4 linked regions of the Drosophila melanogaster genome follow. The protein of the gene in region 2 interacts with the protein of the main gene of each other region in a pairwise test. Each region holds a gene or a part of one and is shown on either strand. Other genes may lie near its edges. The genes, in order: CG3726, CG10321, CG32767 and Syn2.

Evidence for each region.
Region 1: the proteins of CG10321 (region 2) and CG3726 interact in a two-hybrid assay, tested with the Drosophila melanogaster proteins (one large-scale study listed by BioGRID).
Region 3: the proteins of CG10321 (region 2) and CG32767 interact in a two-hybrid assay, tested with the Drosophila melanogaster proteins (one large-scale study listed by BioGRID).
Region 4: the proteins of CG10321 (region 2) and Syn2 interact in a two-hybrid assay, tested with the Drosophila melanogaster proteins (one large-scale study listed by BioGRID).

Annotation. Positions count from the first base shown.
Region 1 is NC_004354.4:5,915,241-5,920,312, reverse strand, and holds the start of CG3726 (uncharacterized protein), read right to left. Parts: upstream 3,217-5,072; 5' UTR 2,686-3,216; intron 1-2,685. Other genes in the region: Shmt (serine hydroxymethyl transferase), read left to right, coding at 3,844-4,050.
Region 2 is NT_033778.4:21,632,999-21,639,264, forward strand, and holds CG10321 (uncharacterized protein), read left to right. Parts: upstream 1-1,680; 5' UTR 1,681-1,983; intron 1,984-2,382; 5' UTR 2,383-2,405; coding exon 2,406-4,913; coding exon of another isoform or gene 4,914-4,973; 3' UTR 4,974-5,401; downstream 5,402-6,266. Other genes in the region: CG15674 (uncharacterized protein), read left to right, coding at 1-311, 369-1,172.
Region 3 is NC_004354.4:5,080,012-5,085,089, reverse strand, and holds the start of CG32767 (uncharacterized protein), read left to right. Parts: upstream 1-2,064; 5' UTR 2,065-2,673; intron 2,674-2,850; 5' UTR 2,851-3,604; intron 3,605-3,832; 5' UTR 3,833-3,909; intron 3,910-3,974; 5' UTR 3,975-4,016; coding exon 4,017-5,078.
Region 4 is NT_033778.4:16,552,580-16,557,691, forward strand, and holds Syn2 (Syntrophin-like 2), read left to right. Parts: upstream 1-2,007; 5' UTR 2,008-2,038; coding exon 2,039-2,113; intron 2,114-2,179; coding exon 2,180-2,329; intron 2,330-2,388; coding exon 2,389-2,674; intron 2,675-2,739; coding exon 2,740-2,904; intron 2,905-3,025; coding exon 3,026-3,210; intron 3,211-3,265; coding exon 3,266-3,424; intron 3,425-3,489; coding exon 3,490-3,714; intron 3,715-3,773; coding exon 3,774-3,977; intron 3,978-4,039; coding exon 4,040-4,150; 3' UTR 4,151-4,447; downstream 4,448-5,112.

The sequences.
Region 1 (5,072 bases), on a different chromosome or scaffold from region 2:
CGCATTGCATTGATTTCAACCTTTTTTTTAAATTATTATTACTACACTCTTTTTCCCTTTGGAGCCCCAGTATTTTCAGCACTTCTCAAAGTTATCAGCGAAATTTGCCTAGCGTTAGTTTTGTTTTTTTATTTTTAGTGTCTCGCCCCGCAAATTCATATAAATATAAATATTTATACACATATGTGTGTATATTTATGGCTTCTTTTCTTTTTATTTTTTGTTATATTTTTCCGATTTGCCGTCTGCAGTGCAGTTTTTTATTGTTTGTTTTTAATTATAAATATGAGCTGATATCAGAGAATGAGGGAAAAAAAAAGTGGGGAGCTCAATGAAAAAGAAATGGTTGCAAAATCAAACCCTTTTTCGGCGAAATTGAAATTGAAAACGCTGTGAATAGATTTAAGGAACTTTGTCGGCATTTGACAAACATTATTTACGCATTGCAAATTATAGTTATCATTTTTCATATATAGTGCGCAAAACATAAACAACCCCAAAATTTACGTAAGCGAATTTTATTTGCCAACTACCAAAATGAAAATAAATAAACACATAGAGTAAACTAAACTTAAAGCTGGTATGACAAAAAATGACAACAACAAAATAATCACACACGAAAAACAATATTTCGTGTCAAAATTTGTGTCGTTTTTTGCTTTATTTCCTACTGCCGCATTGTTTTTCTAAAGAATTTTTATTTGGTTGCGGAATAACACGAAAATAAGTGTGATTTTGTTATAAATACTTCACGGCTTTATTTCGACTCGACTGTGGGAATACCCAAAAGTTTTTTACATGATATATCATATATTACGAATAATTTATGATAATGAAATCTAGATGCAAAGCTTTCAAATCTCGAAGCCCAGGTAAATATGCATTTATTCGAAATCGATTTGAAAATGTTTTATATTTCGAATTTGGTTTTGTTGGAATATCAATCGTTGTAGTTTTAGACTAATTTTAGGCTTTATTTAAGCGTTTCTCCCACATTTATAAATTAATTAATTATGTCCATAGGTATGTATATGAACATATATGCATATATGTATGTATATATTCCAAATTTGGGGGCGTGGCACGTCGGATGCTGACCTGCCCTTGTTTTTTTGCCTTTGGCTTGCTTGTTTGTTATCGCTTTTGTTCTGATTTGTTTTTGGACAATGAACTTGAAATTTGGAGCACGCGTTTCACATGTAATTGAAATGTGTGTGAGTGGGGCGAAGGCGGGTGGTGGGGGGTCGATGAAGATGGGGAGCAGAGAGCAGCGAACGAGAGAGAGAGCACTCACGCACACCAACACTAGCGCACAGAAGCCAGGGCCGGATCAGGGGGTAAATATTCGAGTTAAGTGCCATTAAATATCTTAAATGTTTTACGTAATTTTGTTGCTCAATAACCTATATATTTTGTTAACTTCATGTTCTTCTTGCAAATCGGTAGCTTGGTTCAAAAATTTCCAGATTCGCTCCTGATACGCTCTCTTCCTCTCTCTCTCTCTCGCTCTCTGCCCCCCCTCCACACAATCTTCCACACACTGATTCGCTGTTTTATTTTTTTTTGCGCAGGCGAATGCCGCTGTGAAAACAAAAAACCGAATAAAACAGCCGACAAAAACAAAAGGAAGGAGAAACGTTGACGGCGACGTCACTCAAATGCGATTTGCAATTTTAATTTTTGCCGTTCATGTTTTGCAGTTTTTGTTCATATAATTAAAGTTGTAAAAATGAATTGCCATACAGCAAAAAAACGAGAGAAAAGTAAATTGCAAATTGTAAATTGCTTTTGCCATAAAGGCGGAAATGCCTCTCTCAACAACAAAAAAACTCGCATTCAAATAGTGCAACAAAAAACTAAAAACAAATAAGCCGAAATCGACAACAAAAAATAAGGCTAAACAGGTGAAGAAGAAAACTAAAAGCCACAGAAATAACAAAAACCGATAAACCAAAATTTAAAACCAGCACAAAAAATAGCCCCAAAACTTAAGATATACAATTGTGTTCGAAATCGTAGTAAAGCTATTTGAAGCGCCACAAAAATTTACATTTTTTGTAAACATTTTTAAGCATCGACTATTATTTTGGGTACAACTGTAGCAGATAAACAACAGCCCGCAAAAAACCCTAATTATCAAGCTTAGACAAAAACTACAAAAAAAGCGAAAAAATCACACAAAAAATGTAAATTACTGGCCTATGAATTTAATTAATTTTTTGCAACTCTGTAGGTTTTTTCCCCTCTTTTTTCATTTTTATCTTGGCGATTAGTTGGCAGCAACAATTACAATAAGCGAAGAAAAAGCGCCAATCGTTTCCTGAGCGAAAAACAATTGTTTACAATAATTGCATGCGATTATTATTTATGTCAATTTCGAATATTCAGCTGGCAAAGTCAACAAACCCGGAAACCTTCGGCGAGAACAACGGAATTTTTATCGTAATATTTTGTTCGCCTTTTTGCATTCAACAAAAAAGAGCACGCACAAAACAAAACATGCAAAAAAAAAAAGAAGCACAAAATATATGATTGAAAAACAAAAACGATAAAAAACAAGGGGAGAGCGGCGAACAAAAACAGAAAATCGCACAAATAACACACAACTTTTGTTTGGCTAAAAATAAAACGACGTTCGTTTTGCGTGTCTTTTTAGCACATGAAATAAATAATTTGTTTTCTCACCTTTTCTTTATGACTTTTCGCGCTATCTTTTCTTTTGGCGTTTTTTTCCCCCCTCGAATTTCTTTTACTTTTCCTTTATGCTTTTTGTTTTGTTATTCGAATCGAATTGCACACGCAGCAGAATTGTGTCGAAAAAAATTCATTCATTCATTTAATTTCTGGCTTGCCATTTTTGTTTCATTTCTATATTTTGTTTTTTAACATAAAAAAAAATAATGCGAAACAGCGAATTCAAAACGCGCGCTTTTTCTTTTGCCTTGCGAGCGGATAACGGTAAATGCGCACAGCAATGTTTTAACATTAAACACTAACCACTAAATTGTCAGGAAATTCACCAAAAATAAATGTTCTGTTTTGGAATTGTTAAGAATGTTAGGCTCATGTGTTTGTTAATATTTTCCAGGAATTTTCTTTTAGCGGCGCAGCGAAGTGAAACGTACCGCGGAGGAGACGGATTTTTGAGTGAAAAGAATTGAACTTTCGTTGTTGCTTATATAGACTTTGGCTGGCAGCAATGTTGCTGGAGAGAGATGTTGCACTCTCCCAATCGGTTGGCAACTTAAACCGGTTCGCAGTACCAGCAATTTGGCGGGTACTTTAAATGCCTTAACGTTATCGCGCGTTTGATAACTACGTACATTTTAAGGGATTGAGAGAAACGCATATTATGATATAAAATAAAGTGTTAATATTAATTGAAGAGGCACACACGCTTAACATTTCCACAAATTGTAAATATTTATACAAGAATTGGTAGCTATCGCTAGCGTTGCCAGACGGCGCCAAAAGCTTCTAAATCCAGCGATCCAACTACCCAAACAGCTGATATCTGTTAGCCTGGTAAATGTTGTTTACCAACGTAACGCGTGTTTTCGCTTCGTTGTATTTTCGGTGTCGAATATTTTGGATGCTGGCCAAGAGATAGCGCAGCGATCGGGTCGGAACTCTTGGGCGGACTTATCACTGGGTCGGTCAGGGGTCACGGGTTATCGTTATCGCTTATCAGCCAGCGGCGGCGTCATCTCAGCGCCGGCGACTCTTCTCACTTTGCGGCAGTTCCGATTCGAACGCAGCCGTGTGAGTACTAATAATTACCAAGGATTGTTGAAAAACATCCACTAAAATCTATAAAATTCTGCTTATTACAGTTACAAAGACATGCAGCGGGCGCGCTCTACACTGACACAAAAGCTTCGGTTTTGCCTTAGTCGGGACCTGAACACCAAAGTTGGCAACCCGGTTAACTTCGAGACTGGAAAGCTTAGCGGAGCTTTAACTCGCATCGCCGCCAAAAAACAACCATCACCAACGCCATTCTTACCGGCGATCAGACGATATTCGGACTCCAAGCAGAGCACTTTGAAGGTGAGTTCGCCGGGAAAGTCCCAGGCAAAGTGAAGGGGAGGGTGGAAAAAGTGTGGCTAATTGAACCATTTGGGGGACTCGCATTTCGATTGCCTTTAATTCTTGCAGTGATCGCGGTGCTCAGAAAGTTTGTGTTTCGCTTCCATTTGCGGCTCCTGGCATGCCCGGCTAATCGCCATGTGCTTCATGCGTTTCATTCAGCCATGTGTTCCCACACTGCACTATCCCTACGTGGATGGCATGCCATCGATCCGCTGAAAGTGTTGTTTATAGTAGTATCATTGTTAAGTACCTATGTACATGTGTAGTTTAATTGAGATCTTATAGCATATGTACATATATGTACCGTATTTGTATCAGTGTACTGTTAGTGTATTCAAAACGTCGCCATGCGCCAAGTTTGAATCTTTTTGATTCACATTCGCTACCTCGGCCTGAAACTCGTTTTTGGGCCTACTCGAATTTCTCGGCTGTTTGCGCCCTATCGAGCATTGTTGTTGTCATTCTCGTTTGCACTTGTCTAAATATTTAAACTGATAACGCAAAAAAAAAAAAGAATCTGGCATTGGCCATTAAATCGAATTTCCCATTCGTGTGGGCAGATTTGTATATAAATATACATACATACATATGTATATGCATTTTGCACTCAACTTGTGGCCAGAAATTAGCATTCAATTTAGTGGGAATCACCAGTTTCCAGTTTTTGCAGCTAAAATTTTGCGTGTCCAATTCATTTCTGCGTTGAAAATAGAAGAATCTTCCAGGGATTATTAGTTAGCAGCTGGAAACGTTGAACAACAAAATGGTACTAGAGATACGTAATTTGCTGGAGGAAGCTACATACATATAAACTTGTCCATTTTCTGCCAATATTCTCCATTTCGACTATATACGTACGTTTCCCGATCTTTCCGAAGTGCGTCAGCTGCAAAGGGGGGGCAGTGTCCTTATCGTCGTCCGGCGACTTGAACTGGTGACCCAGACGGATGATAATCACTTGACGATAAGCGGATCGCAAA
Region 2 (6,266 bases):
GCTCCACCACAATCAGGCGAGATAACCATCACTTTTTTAGGCTGCGCAACGGAGAACTGACTGGAAGGGGAGTTCAGACGGAGGTGTGCGCCAACGGAGGTGATTCGGTCCTGGCCTGGATTCCCTACCACACCGTGCTCAAGAACTATGCGGCCGAGCTGAATCCCAAGGAGCGACTGACATACATTGCCAAGGCCACGAACGTGGAGCGGGAGAAGACAGAGCTCTGTCACTTCCGACACACGGATCTTGTCAATGCGGTGTCCGACAATCTGTTCACCTGTGTGGTCATGATTTTTGGCGATAACTTTGTAAGTTCCTCGGGAAGATGGTTCGGTTGATGTCCTACAAATATGTTATCTTTATAGTATGGTCTTGAGGATAACATTAACGTACTGGTGGAACTGGAACCTTTGGCATACCAGCTGAGGAACATTACTTACCTGCCGTGGCGCAATGTGACTAACAGCTACAAGATGCACCTGGGTGACAGTGTGCTCCGAAATCCCAGTGGCGAACGTAAGCCCATTTACGGTAGCCTGAACTACGATTTTGTGGAGAAGATCCTTGTGAACATGTCCAGTGTGTACCAGCATAGGAAGCTATCCAGGCTGCCTCTGCTCTTCGAGCACCGGTCCTCTGTTCTCGAGTTGGACTTGTATGGTATGGGTGGCCTGGATGTTGCGGAAAAAGCCTATTTCGGACGAAGCATGGACCCCAGGAGCGAGGTGAAGGTGCAGGTGATTGGTCAATGGGTAGACCAGCATCGGGAGTTCGACGCCGACATATACGAGTACTATGGCCATGGGCTGAGACGCTATAAGGAAACTCTGACCGGGGCCCGGCTCACCTTCATCCGAATAGATTATACGGAGCCGGTTTTCATGGCTCCGGAGTCTAGCAACCTGGCCAAGGCCTCGCTTTTCCGAGAGCCGAAGGTTGGCCAGATAAGGGAGGATCCATCGGGCAACTATACCGAGTGGGAGAACGCACAGGAAGAGGATTACGATGAGGAAGGTCCAGGATTCTACTGCTGGTTTGTGATTACTTGTCTGCTTTTGGCCCTCGCTATTATCCTGGGCATATACATTGTAGTAAGCGCTCACAACAGGAGAACCAAGAAGCGCCACATGTACGAAGTGGCCAACACGAATGTGCCTCCACCCGCCTAAAAATTATGGACATTAAGTTAAGTTTTCTAAATCAGAAAATAACACCAGGATCAACAGGTGTTTTCAGTTCGAAATGTCAGTTTAAAAAACGAGTTGGCAGCTCAATTGCTATGTCCTCGAATTAAAATTTGTGTGTTCGTTTTTTGGGTTAGATTTATTAAAAATTTCGGCTTGAAAATGTTAATGTGAGTCAAAAAACTGTTGTGTGTTTCATTGAATATGTAAAGAAATCCCCTGGTATGAACGGCAAGGAATGGCTCTAAAATCGAGAAATTAAAGAGACTTGTGAGCTGAAGGACCCACATCAAAAACCTAAGTTGTAAATAGAGAAAAGGTAAGTTTCAATGGAATTTCATGCCTTAAACATAAGAAGTTTTAAGTATTAAAAAGAAATCTAGAAATCTGAGGAAATAAACAAAATGATTTCCGACCGGCATGCGTTAGGGATTTCTGTCTTTATACCACGTTGGCAGCGCCATTCACAACACGCCTATCATCTCACTCACACTCGCACACAGAGAAAGACAGATAGAGGCAGAAGTTCAGTTCATCAATTCATTCATCTCATGGAAGAACCTTATTGATAACGTCGCCAGAGATAGCTAGTGATTTCATTCGATCAGGGTCCCGAAAGACCCACTGGTGTGCACTTGTTTTGGTTTTGAAGTTCGCATCTCTGGGAACGTGTGTGTTTCGCCCTGAACCACAAATATGTGAGTTCCGAATGCGATTTGTGTGACGCGGCCATATTTAAAGAGTTTTTTGTGTTGAATGTGGGGCGAGCTGCGAAAATTACATAAATACAGCGCAGGTGAGTTCATTTTTGTTGCGGGAACCCGGTCGAAAGGTGCTCTAAGTGCGGGTGCAAGTGAATCGAAAACAATATTTACCCAATTCAAGTCGGGAATTATGTATTTGTTTCGTTTTTTGGGCCTAAAAATCGCATTTTTCGCTCACACCAACACCAAGATGGTAAATTGTGTATAACAATATGGCTGTCTCTGTCTGGCACAAGAGCTACCAGACGTGTCGACAGTCCCTGTTATTAACAGCGGGTTAGCAGGTCATTTTACAACAGATGAAATTATTCTGAATTTTAATTGACCATTTTTTGGCGGGCAAATCATAACAAACCTCGTACTCATGCACCTTTCGGGGATCCGCTCATTCTAATGGTTATTTTAAATTAAAAAAAACTGGCCCATTGCAGCCTCCCCCTAGGAACACGAAGTGATGGATCGCAAGAAGGTCCTGGAGCTTGACAAGATCTGCCGCCTGTGCATCTCGGAGCGCAAGGAGATGCGCCCGCTGTTCAGCGAAAAGGTGCCCGAAATGCTGATGGACTGTACCAGCGTGCGGGTGGAGCCCACGGAGGGCTGGCCGGACAAGATCTGCGTGCAGTGCGTCCACGCCGTAAGCCGGAATCACGCCTTCAAGACGCTCGTCGAGCGCAGCGACAAGGAGCTGCGCGAGTATATCCGCGGTCTTACCGTGGCACTGGTAATGGAGGAGCAGCAGCAGCAGGAGGCGGCAAACGCTAAGCAGCAGCTTCAGCTGGAGCGGAAGCAACAGCGACAGCTGCAGAAGCAACAGAAAATCCTCGAGGAGCAACTCCAGCAGCAGATAGTCCAGCAGCAACAGCATCAGCCTCCTGCCAAACCAAAACTGAAGCCGCTGCTCCGCAAGGGCTCCCGCCAGCAGAAGCAGAGGCATTTGGAGGCCGCACCAGCACCACAGTCAGTCCCGCAGCCCGCCCCTCAGCCACAGATGCAATTAATGCAGGAACATGCGCCGCAACAGCCCACTATGCAGCAGCAGATCCAGCAGATTCATATGCCCACACTTCAGCCTGCTCCCGCCCAGCTACTGTCCGCTGCCGGTGCCACCACGACTATGCCGCAGCAGATCCTGTTGCCCAACGGCCAATTGATAACGACTGCTCAGATTGTAGCGCCGCAGTTGGCGCAGATCATCAGCACAGCGCCGCAGTCAACGACTAATGGTCAGGCCACCGCTGCGCAATCGCAATTCCTGCCACAGCTTCTACAGACGCCGAACGGACAGACGTTGCAGATTGTTCAGCAGCCCAATGGCACGCAGACCCTGCAGCTGGTTCAACTTGTGCCGCAACGCAGTTTGGCTCCGACCGGAGTCACGACAGTGACCACAACTACCAACGCCACGGATATGGGTCAGCATGTAGGCGCTTCTCTCGGTGATGCCGACGTGCAGTTGCTGGAGGACGGCTGTGAGGTGGAAGACGAGGAACTGGAAGATGTGTACGAGCAACTGGATAGCAAGGCAGATCACAGCTTTGAGACTATTGTACTGGACGACGATCAGCAGCAGGACTTCCTAAAGGACCACCACGAGCACCACCAAGTAATGATCAACGAGGATCTCACGCAGAGTGAAAGCCAAGACCATGAGTACTTCGACGATTTGGACCAACAGCAAGCAATGGACGAGATAGAAGACGAGGAGGAGCAAATGAAGCCCGAAGAGGACCAGGATACGTTCATAATCGAGGAGATTCAGCTGGAGGATGACGAGATGCTCGATGATCCGGATGGGGAGGAAATCGACCAGGATTGTGAGTACATCGGTGAGGAACAGGATCCGCATTTGTCCGGCGACGTAGACGACGATCTGGAGTATTCCATTATGGAGCCGCCGGATGGCGAGACAAGTGTGGACATTGACCAGGCATTCATGGATTCTGAGCAGTCGCATCATCAGCAGCACCAAGAAGAGATGCAGAGCATATCACTGGAGAACGCTGTTGTAGAGTTCAGCCAGGCCACAACTACAACGGAAGCCCTGGTGGGTCCCACTATGACCGTCAGCTCGGCCAGTCCGACGCCAAAGCGAGCCAAGCGAAGTAACCACCAAATTCCAGCCGGTGTGACTCTGGAACCCTGCGACCACCAACCACCTGCCGCTGGATCAACGACCAGCAGCAAGCTGGCCGCAGCCAACTCTCGCCAGTTGGTGCAGACGGCCAGCGTGATTGCAGCCGCCGGTGCGGACGACAACTACGAAATAGATGCTAATCTGGTAACTGAGTTCATACGACAGCACACCTCGCCTCTGGGATCTGGGAGATACATTTGTCACCTGTGCAGCACCGAGTTCCGGCAGTTCAAGGGCCTGCAGAACCACATGCACTCCCACACCAACTGGATACGGGCCAATTGCAAGAAACAGCCGCAGTGCCAGATCTGCCTAAAGAGCTTTAAGGGCCCAGGAATGCTGCGGATGCACATGAAGACGCACGACGCTGAATCCAGCACACCGATGTGCACCATTTGCAATCGAACCTTCAAGTCCAAGGCGATCTTGTACAGGCACAGACAGACGCACCAGCAGAGAGCGTATTGCTGCGGCGTGGCCAACTGCCGAAAGAACTTCTCGTCCGCGGTGAACCTCAAGTGGCACGTAGAACGCAAGCATCCGGAGGTTGTGGATCCGCTGTTCAAGTGCGGCGAGTGCGGATCTTTGTACGACAACGTGGACTCACTGCAGCTGCATGTGGAGAGCACGGATCACAGTGCAGAGGTGCAGATCAGTGGCCAGGACGATGCTTTCAGCGGGGCGGTAAGCATCGTCAGCAACGGCACCACCGACATGTCGAACATGATGGCAACCGGCCAGGGTACGACTTTGGCCGGCGGCACGGGCGATACCCACGCCGTGGTCATGGGCTCATCCGGCGAGGTGTACTTCGTGACGCAGGCGTAGCCAGCGGAGTTTGCCGCAGCGGGCGCTCCTGGAAACGGCGAGTGCCTGCTCGGCATTTAGATGACCACTTAGATGTAATATATATACATATATATATATATATTTTTGTACTACCCCCGTCTAGATAACAATTTAGGAATAAGCACAACTACACAAATATTGCAATCCTAGATTTCTGTCGTAGAACTTGTTTAGTAGGACCTAAGCGATTCACTCGAATTTTGTAAGCAGATACGAAACTTTAGGTAGGCAGATCGAGGCGGATCCTCACATCCAAACGCTTGGGGCATAAATCCTGCGTGGACTGTGCCAGTTTTTGTTTTTAATTTTATTACCCTACTATTATTATTTTGTTTTCCCGGGGAATACAGACTGGCATTTTAGGCTAAACGTATTTTGGCGTTGGGTTTTCATTGTTGGGCTTTGAAATAAGTGAATTTGTTTTAACTGAACAACAAAATAAATTAACAAACCTTCTATGAAACCATAATTTGTCTTTCTTGTACGTCCCATCTGGCCGGTAATATTTATTTTTAAGCGTGTAATCCAATTCGCTGGCTTTGTTGGCTTGTTGTTCAATTGCATTGACAGAAGACCGGGAAAAAACAGAACCCAAACAAAATTGATCGAAAGAAAACAACAATCAAGCCAAGGTCTTGTCTATTGATTCCCAATTGCCACGTGTCGCGTTCATCCGGTTATGGGAAGTATCTGGATAACTACGATTCGCGTATGGATGCTTATGTAAATCTGTAAATGCCTATTAGTGTGATTTAGGTACATGTACATACATATATATTATATTATCCATAAAAAGTGACCCCCCAATAATCGGTTATCTGATCGCAGTCTGAAATCTCCGGCTGTCACAAGAAATTGTTAATTAATTAGCAAATAAGCCGCGAAAATAATCAATTGGAATAACATTGTGACAGCTAAAATCGCCAGGCGTTTATTTGTTTTGTTCAGATTATATATGGCGGTCAGCCGCGTTTCGCAAGATAAGATAAAGGTTTGGTTTTCCGCTTACAAATATGACGCATACCTTCGACTTACCGCCCTTAATTTTCCAGCCAGCTGTTGGAAAATCTGGCCCAAACTAAAGCTTATATTGTACATAGATATTTTAGATAGCTAGATTTTTGATTCGTAACTAGCTGTATCTAATGCAACATTTTTAAAATGGGCTTTACCTATACCATCATATGCTTTACATTTACATTTACATATGTATATATTCATTGCACTTATAATATATTCTTCATCTTAAATGTCATGCTTTCATGCTTGGCTGGAAAAGTCCTTGCACTTTAAACCGTCGAAATAAAACTTGGCCACGCAGCCAAATAAATG
Region 3 (5,078 bases), on a different chromosome or scaffold from region 2:
CAAGCATTGTAAAATTCATATAACATCAGCTACAATGCGAATTACTTTTACATTTTTGCCAACGTCAATTGTCAAGTTATTTAATTGTTCGAATAGACTGATTCAGGTTAATTGAAAAACGGCTATAAAACGGCGGCATTTCGTGTTTCTGTGTATAAAAAACCGGTAAAAATTCAAAAACCCAGTTTCAGTGTGCCCAGACATCAAGTAAGTATTTTAGTATTTTCAGTTTTAGTTTTAGGTTTTAAATATTTGGCAATTGCACCTCCTTTCGATGTATCGATGTACCTACAAAGTATCGATAGTGACTGTTGCCAGTATCGCTTTAGTTATTCCATCTCTAAGCATCAGGCTTTGGTCACATTACCAACCTTTCATAAAAAATAAAAAACAAAACAAAAAGGCGATAAAACGCAATTAAAGCAACTGTAAAAAACATAACAAACTAAAACCACTGATAAACTAAACCAACTGCATTGCACACACCCCGCAAACAAACGAAAATGTGATGTTAAGTGTGAGTAAAAACCGATGGAAAAGCGAAAGGAGTGTGCGTGTCGAGCATGTGCGAGTGTGTGTGTGTGCGTGCGCGTGAAGTGCGAATAATGTGTGATGGAGAGAGGGCAAGAGAGCGGCGCCAGCTAAAAAATATAAACAATTAAATAAATATGTAAATTTATATATATGGATGTATGGCATGGAAGTAGTTATCCACTAGTTACGAAAAGAGAAAAACAAAAGAACTAGTTCTCTTTTCTTTGAGTGTGCGTGTGTGGTTGTGTGGGGGAGAGGATTCCAGCTGCCTTTGTGTGTGAATTTCATTTAGTTTTTTTTTATCTGCTATTATTTTGTTGTGCGGATATTTTTTAACCCTTGTTAGCCCTTTATTTTGCTGATGTTTGCGTTAGTGTGTGTGTGTGTGCTTTCAACCCCCAAAAACTTCACCACCCGTCGCCGCCCGGCGAAAAATCACTGAGCAATAAAACCACCCACTACCCACCAAATGAAAAGACCAAAAAAAAAACGAAGCGAATTATTTCCCACTGAAAATTTTTTTCTTCCAAGGTGATGATGTTTTCTTCCTCTTGCTCCTCATCTTTCCAGGAGCAGCACTCGAAAAAAGGGAGAAGCAAGATGGAGAAGGAGAGTGAGTGAGTGAGAGAGAGCACAATTCAGAAACTGTCGAAATAAAACGGCTTCTCCACCTCTCACGCCTTTTGTCGCCCCCCGCTGCGGGCCCCATCGCACAGTGGGACGCGCAGACTAGGTGTTCTAACAAATTTCGAATTTTCACGCTCCAGTGAACTCATAGGCACTAAATTAATGTTTTAAATGTAATATTAATGAGTTTGTTGTTTTATTATCACCTATTTCGCTCCACTGTGCAACGTATGACGCGCTAGCGTCCCCTCTTTCGCTCTCGCGCAATTCGACCATTTTCCATCCTTCTCGCTCACGCCGACTGCCTTTTGGCGTATTTCTTTTGTGCCTATGTATTTCCGCTTGTTAGGTCAGCTCTCCCCCTGCTCCCCCGCCCAACAACGTCCTCTTTTTGTGCTCCCTTTTTGGGCTCCAAGTTCTGGCAGTCCTTTTAGGAACAGTTGTGGCCGAGAGAATAGGGAATTCGTTAAGACGGCCTTCTTTTGAAAGTAGATGCTCGCTTGTAGTATGATCTTAAAATGCGTGTACTAAGCCCCTATTAAATTAATAATAATAATTAAATGTTGTTTTTCATTTCTTATTTAAAAATAATCTGTTTAAGGAAAAATTAATAGATGTTGAGTAAGATGTACCTGATAATACTATTTCATTGACCCCTGCTGTATATTTTGGTTTTGTGTTGTGAGTGAGAACGAAGTTGTGTGGGTGTTTAAAAAGGGTAAGAAAGGCAAAAAAAAAGGCGAAACGGAGTAGGACAAGAACCAAAAAGAAAAACGAAATAAAAGTAACGTTGTTTTGTGTGCGGGCCAACCGAAAACCAATTAACTTTTTGAATATTGCACGAAATTGCGCGCCATCGCCCGTTCGTTTACCAACACTGACCGCCGAATGCAACCCTGCGCAACACTAACTCACACACACGAGCGTAGTAAGACCCAGGGAGGCAAAAATTCACACACAAGCAAATATTTTTTTGTTATTATTGAACAGTGTGGAAGAACAGCGCGAAAGGGAAAAACGAGCTTGCGGATGTGAAAAGTAAAGCGGGTGTGTGGAAAACGGCAACAACAAAAGGCGAACGGGGGAAAGCCAAAGAAAAACTACTCGCGGGGGAGCAAAAATCGGCTGGGAAACACGGACGAAGAAGAAGAAGAATAGGAATCAGAGTAGGAGAGCAAGCAGCAGCAGAAGAAGAAGAAGCAGCGCAGCCGCTAATTGTCTCGTCGTTCGTTGTTGTTGCTGCCTTGCAAAAAAAAAAACGAAACCGAAAAAGAAATGGCAAAAAAATAACGCAAACAAATTCAATAAAACGAACTAAACAATTAGCAAGTTAATAAACGCAACATAAAACCAAAGGAACGAACAGCAGTGGCAAAAGAAAAAGGCAAAAGAAGAACAATCGAAAAGGTCAAAAAGTGTGAGCAAGGGAGAGGAGAGACTTCCCCAAAAAAAACCGAAAGAAAAATGGAGCAAAAGTGAAAAACCTGTGAATGTGTGTGTGTGTGAGAGATGGTGAGAGAGAGAGTGGGGGGAAAAGCTAAAATTAATTTTTTGTTTTTATTTCCAAGGCGCGCACTGGTGTGTGTGTGTGAGTGTGGGTGGAAAATCGGATTTCGTAAAACGCATTTAATTGTTAACAGCAGCAAAAACGTGTATAATTTACCTGATTTTTCTACATCTCACTTACAGTTAGTAATCAAATTGCACAAAATGCGAAAGAGGAGAGCAGATCAATAATAATAATAATAACAAAAAGGAAAGGAGCAAATGTAACGACTTCTGTGTGTGTGTGTGCGTGCGTGAAGCAAACAACAAAAAACAGCGCAGAAACATTTTTAACTAAAATGTGGAAAGCAAGCAAGGAAACAACAAAAGCTAAAACAACAACGACAGCCAGGAGCAGCGCAGCCAGCAGCGACGTCGACGCCAGCGTCGCCGCATGGAAAGCACAGAAAACCGCATGACAAGGAAATGGAAAATTTTTGTGCAGCCCAAAAAACCAAATGTGAACATAAAGGAAAGGCCGACAGCGAGGCGTTGAGCAAACGAAAAACAAAACAAAATACAACAAAAATACAAGAACGTGTGTGTGTGTGCGTGTGTGTGTGTTTTCCAATCGTATAATCGAAGAATAATAGTAATAATAATACGAGTCAAGGAAGAAGCGGCATTCGAAAGAGAACAGAATAAACGGAGGAAGAAACAGATGTAATAACTAAAGCAGAAGAAGAAGCCCATCAGCAAATCTATGAGAAGAAGAAGAAGGCGAAGAGGAAGCGGCAACTTGAAAAATATACAACAATTATTAATTATGGCAGCTTCGACAAACAAAATTCTGTAGAAGAGGAAACAACAGACGCCCAAAGGCAAGATTTTTAAATAGGGAGTAGTAACATAAAAGAAAACTTTGGCAGCCAAAACGACAAGAAACAAACAAAAAATTGTAAGTAACAACAAGCCCTGCTTTTTCCAAACAAAAACTAGTTCGTTTCGATGAAATTATCACTTAATCACCAAAGTTTTGTATAGTTGTTCCTCTCAGTACTGAAAGCATTTCGCTTTCATCTAGTTTTATTTAATAACCCGTACTTTAAGACATCAGAAACTCGAATGGACTTAACTTGTTTGTTAGATTTTGTGGCAGAGTTCATAATATTGTTCTATTTCTCAGGCTAACAATATATTCAACATAGCTGGAGGTTTACGCCAAACACAGGCGTCGCATCCCCAACAGCTCAAGAGAAGAACGTAAGTTATTGCCCACCAGCCATGGCCGAATGTGAGTCTAATCCAAATGTTTGTACGATTTGCAGATACAAATAAGGGAAATATACATCAATTAGTATATCGCTGCCATGGCCAGCAGCGCGACGAACGTCGACGGCGGCAGCGGGACGTCGACGGCGCTGCCATCGCTCTTCCCCGCCGTTGGCGCCGCTGCCGGTGTCAAAGATATGGACGGATTAATGGCCATTAACGATAGCGCCCTATCGCAACAGATCGAATTTATACTGCAGGATGCTCCCATGGAGCAGGACGACGATCCTCACCAGCATACGCATGTGCATCACCATCATCACTCGCAGCATCATCCTCACTCGCATTCGCATCAGCAGCAACAGCAGCAGCATCTTCAGCAGCAACAGCAGCAGCAGCAACACCATCATCCGCATCATCATCTGAAGCTGGACAACAGCAGCAACAACCACCCACCGACCGCAGCAGCAGCCGCAGCTGCCGTAGCAGTAGCAGCAACAACTGCAGCAACAGCAGCCGCAGCAACCAACAACAGCGCTTCCTTTAGCAGCAACAGCAGCAGTAGCAATAGCAACAACAGCAATCACTTGGACAACCAGCAACAGTTGCTCATTCAGCAGCAGCAGCAACAGCAGCAACATCATCTGCTAAACGGACGCCGCATCATAATCCAGGCCACGGGTAACTCGTCCGTTTTAGCCGCCAGCGATATCAAGGAGGAGGACGAGGAGGAGGAAGATCCCGAGCTGAACGATGAGAATCTGCAGGATATCGAAGAGGAGGCTCAGGCAGCCGAGGCCGATGAGGAGCCCGAAACCACCGCGCATTTGTCCACGCAAGTTAAGCTGGAGCTGGAAGAGGATGATGAAATGCCCGACGAGGAGGAGGAAGAGGATGAGGACGATGACGAGGAGCTGCAGCACGGCCAGCTGGAGTACCAAATTAGTGCGGCAACGCAAACAGCTGGAGCAGCGACGAGTAGTGCCGCTGGTGGCGCCGCAACAGCCGGCGGAGGATCACAGCAATTGGTACAACTGCCCGCCGGTAGTATTGTGAGCACAACCACCCACCGATTGTCGGTGCCCGTGACCGAGGCGGCTCTTGTGCAGCTGCAACGACGACCTGTCTACATAAGCAATGCTGTTGGCGGCCTAACGGCC
Region 4 (5,112 bases), 5.1 Mb from region 2:
ATGTGTGCGGGCAAGCATAAGTACATCTGTCAATACAAGGAGGTAATCCCCCAAAGTCGATCCGATATACTGGGTGCGGTAGAATTGTTTAGCAAACACACACATAAATTAATAATCAACGTTTTTGGGCCTCGGGCAGCAAAAGTATCGGTTATGCGAGGGTGTGCGTGTGTTTGTTTTACTTCACAGCCAGAGCTGCAAAAAAAAAAAGAAAAGTTCAATCGCTGAAACTTCAGGCAAAACAGCCCGAAACGTTTCGCCTGCTGCTGCTTCTGCTGCTCTTTTCGTGGCTGTGGCACAGCTGATTGTCCAAGGCCTCACGCCGAACATGTTGGCTTGTTTGGTTTGAAGCTAAGGACCTGCACTCCTGGACACCTCCCCACCGAAAAAAAAACCAGAGTACTCTGGGCCTAGCTTCACGGTTTTACGGCTCTGAAGCACGCACCCAAAAGGGCAGCGCAGCGTGCACACGTAATAATAAAGCCATAATCAAAGGTAACCCGGGACAACGGAGCGTATGCGTGTTCCGCCAAGTCGGTGGCCTGACCAGCAGCTAATTGCTACGACACGCGGAATGCCAAGGATTCAGGAATTCATGGTCCAAATATTCGACACTTTTTGCACTCTGCGAAACTCTTGCAGGCAATATAGAACATTCTGGGTTGATAGATCTATTTTTGTATAGATTTTGGAATGTATAATTTACCTTAATTATAATTATTTTATGTTGCTTCAGTAAAATAATTCCGTTTTTATATATTTATTTTTATTATATTTTCAAAAACTCATTGTTGATGACACGTAAGCTTAGGCCTAAACATTTTATTATGATTTTATTCCTTTCATAATTTCATTAAAAATATATAATAATTTTTTTAATTAACAATAATAACAATTGAATTCACTTTGACCATGAATCAGATCGCAGAAAACGTTTAAAGCGAAAGTGTTTCCCCTCGAATTCAGAATTTCTCAATCTCAGATGGCAATTTAGCTGGCACCATATGCACATATTTGGCGCTCAAATCGAACCCTCCCCCCCCCCCCTTCAAGAACTCTCAACCCCCCCTAGGCAAAACACCTATTTATGGAGCACAAGTGGTTATCCAAAATACATATTCCACCCTCCCATTCCTGAGGAGCAGTTGCGGCCACACTTCGGCACTCAGCACCAGGGAAAACCACAAACAACGTCTGCAGATGGGGCACACTTCAATGTGTTTTCACTCATATCTAGTTTTCCGGTAGCATATTTATTTTCCACTTTAATGGAAAACATATGCCGTGGCATCAGTTCGTAGAAAACGCACTTGGCCAAGGTATGCCCATGTATCGTTTCCATCTAGATATGCCTTCTATTACATTTTGCGGCAGCCTGATTACGCTTAATTGTTTCTAATTGCATGTGTAATTTAATTAAGGCAATTGCACAGTTCACCTTGAACTATCGGCTCATCGGTGGGCCAGTGTGCAAACGTAATTCGATATGCGATGATTGCAATTGCGTTGCTTTCGCCTTACTGCTGTCTGCTCAGTGGAAAAATAAAATGGCAATCGATAAAGGCCACGGAGCCGGCTTCCCGATTTGATTGCAGTTGTTTCGCAGTCCATTGCCATGGCCACGATTATGTTTAAAAATAAAAAAAAAAAAACGAAAAGTTCTCAGAAATCGCTTGATTACACTGGGCCAACTTGATTGGCGGCCATCCGATTTGGTAACAAGGGTAGACATCCCGTTATTGCCACAAATCAGGCAACATTTCAACCTTTTCAGACCCTTTGCTCTAAATTATTCATTCCATTCAATCAATCAACGCATTTAATTTAACGCCTCTAGAAATATTGATTGAGCTTTAAGTATAGTCAAGATATCTTGAAGATACATTTTGTTATTATTATAGCAAACTAATCTCTAGAAATCTCTAGAGTTCCTGGATTTTTATTTTATTTTGGTTCATAATTCATTTTTAAATCCTATCACTTTAAGCACGTTTCCCATTTAAGATCATAAATCACACTCAAGATCCCTCTTCTCTGAATGATTTCAGGAATTATGAAGCTCTCTGACACCATGGCCACGCCTATAGAAGAAAAACTCGACCAAAACCTGAAGGTAACGCAAAGATTCTTCATATTTATAAATGTATATCTATTAAATATTAAATTATTAATATTTTAGGTGCGAACTGGAATGGTGCACGTGAGCGATGGCAAGAGCAGACCAGAACCGCTTCGACTTAATCTTACCATGGAGTTGCTTTCGCTGCAGAAGCTGGAAGTGGTAACACCAAGTAGTTGTCACCCCAATGGACCACCCATGGAATCAAAGGTATATATATATTTTCCCCTATAACATTTAACTTATTTATGAAATAATTCATCTTTCAGGAACGTATGGTTCAAATTACGCGCCAAAAACAAGGCGGCCTAGGACTGAGCATAAAAGGTGGCGCCGAGCATAAACTACCCATTTTGATATCGCGTATCTATAAGGATCAGGCTGCGGACATAACGGGCCAACTATTTGTTGGCGATGCCATCATCAAGGTCAACGGAGAATACATCACGGCATGTCCTCACGATGATGCCGTCAATATATTGAGAAACGCTGGCGATATTGTTGTGCTCACTGTTAAGCATTATCGCGCAGCCACGCCTTTCCTTCAGAAACAACGTGAGTAGCAGTGGGCTAGCATAGCACGATAAATAAGGATTGAATAACCCTCCTCAACATCCCAGTGACCAAGGACACACCCGACTCGGACAACGATGTCACATGTGCCGAACTGAAGGCTGACGAGGGCTACAAGTCATCCGTCAATAGTGGAACCATCAGTCGCAGTTGTAGTCGCCCCATGTCAATTTGCTCGGAGCCCGAGAAGCGCTGGACCGACGTGGTTGCCGGTGAGCCTTATTTATAAATAGGTTAACAAATTGTTCATTGATTATGTCCTAAGATAACAGAAATGTATCTCAAATCTTACGTACAGAAATGCTAATCAATTCATATATTTACACCTTGCAGTACCTCTAATGATGGCATATGTGACGAGGTACATCTATGGCACCGACAAGCTGCGACAAAATGCCTTCGAAGTTCGCGGTCTGAATGGAATTTCCACAGGTGTCATACACTGTGACGAACTGGCCATACTTAGTCAGTGGCTGAAATTGATAACAGACAATGTTGTGGGCCTGACGCATTTACAGGTAGGAGAGTTAAAGGCATATATATTCATAATTTAATCAATTGTGTATCCAATAGATGAAGCTATATAATAGAAACTTTGCTGTGGGCGAGCGCATTGAGTACATGGGCTGGGTGAATGAAGGTGTCATTAACAACAATATATCGTGGCAGAGCTACAAGCCCAGGTTTCTACTGCTCAAAGGCACTGAAGTGATGCTCTTTGAAACGCCACCAGTGAGTAGCAATCAATTGCGATAAGTTTCGATTATCTTAACTAATTTTTTCTATTAAATTATTAGCTAAATGTGGCTGGCATTAGTAAGGCTTTGGTGGTCTACAAGGTCTACCAGACCATGTTCCGCATTGTCAAGGAATCGGAGACCGTGGATAGTCGTCAGCATTGTTTCCTGCTGCAAAGTTCGGGTCATGAACCGCGCTATTTGAGCGTGGAAACCCGTCAGGAGCTTTTGAGAATCGAAAACAGCTGGAATGCGGCCATTGTGACAAGTGTCATCAAACTGGGCGTAGGTTTACACTTATATCGCATACCTTCACTCTCTAATTATATGTTAATTTTCCTCAGCGTAAGACCTTTGCCGTGTCGCATCATGGAAAAAGTGGTGGACTCACGCTGGACTGGCAAGCTGGTTTTTCATTAACCGAAGGAGCCGAATCCGCCACAGTTTGGCAGTATAAATTCTCCCAGCTGAGGGGCTCCAGTGATGATGGTAAATCGAAGCTGAAGTTGCATTTCCAGGATCACGATAGCCGTGCAATAGAAACCAAGGTAAGCTAAAGATACAAGTATACCATAATTTCATAATATATAAAAAGTTTAATATCCTGCAGGAGCTGGAATGCCAAGTCCTGCAAAGTCTGCTGTTCTGCATGCACGCGTTTCTTACGGCCAAGGTGGCATCGGTGGATCCAGCATTTTTGAGCTCAATCCAGCAGACTTAAATCAAAAATATTATGAGGGACAAGAATTCGCATGGACTCACACTCAAAATGATATATAATGAATATTCGTAAAGTGCATAGCAAATAATTCGAATATGAATGTTGGACTATAGGTATCGCATACATGATTGTCCGCTTGGAGTTATTATAAACGAGTACGCGCATATACATATGTATGTTGATATCTGAATGATTGTAATTGTAATTGGATACTGATATGGGTATATTTATAGCGCTGATAAAACTGAAAGTGAAATCTCTTGGTGCATTATAGTAAATTTTAAGCATACATAAGGCAATTACTTTAGGCATTTTTCCTATTACGTAGACTTGGTACTTACAAATTGACAACAAATTTATATTGTTTATAATCGATCGTTTCCGAATGTAGCCTTTAAAGTTAAATTAACCCTTAACCCTACCTACCTAACTTACGGATTGTTAAAACCACATAGGTCTGCCGATTCTGAATGTCAGAGAAATCTAATCGCTTTTTGCTATTAGCCGAAAAGATTATAATGAGTGGCCTTAAAGGCTTTAACCCGTGCTGTATCCTCTAGACATATATTTCTTCGGCGGTTTAACGAAAATTGATTGAAATATAAAAACCGTGTTTTGTGTGCGCTCTAATGAAAATTTAATTTTCGAAAAACGAATGCTTTAAGATCGGATTAATTGTTATTTTCTACTGAAGTAATAGCTGATGTCATAATAGATATATATAAAAATACCTTATAAAATAATATATATATATATAACATCCACCGAACAAATCTCAATGCACAGACGTAACATGAACTAGATTTTATAACTGTTATACATTTACTCAGAGCCAGTTAAGTGATTTCATCAGACACTCACTTAGGTCATTTGTCAATTCAGAATGTGTCTTTCGGTGGCAAGATCGTATTTGTTGCTAGCATATTGCATTGTACGTATTGATTTTAGGCGTTATTGCACAA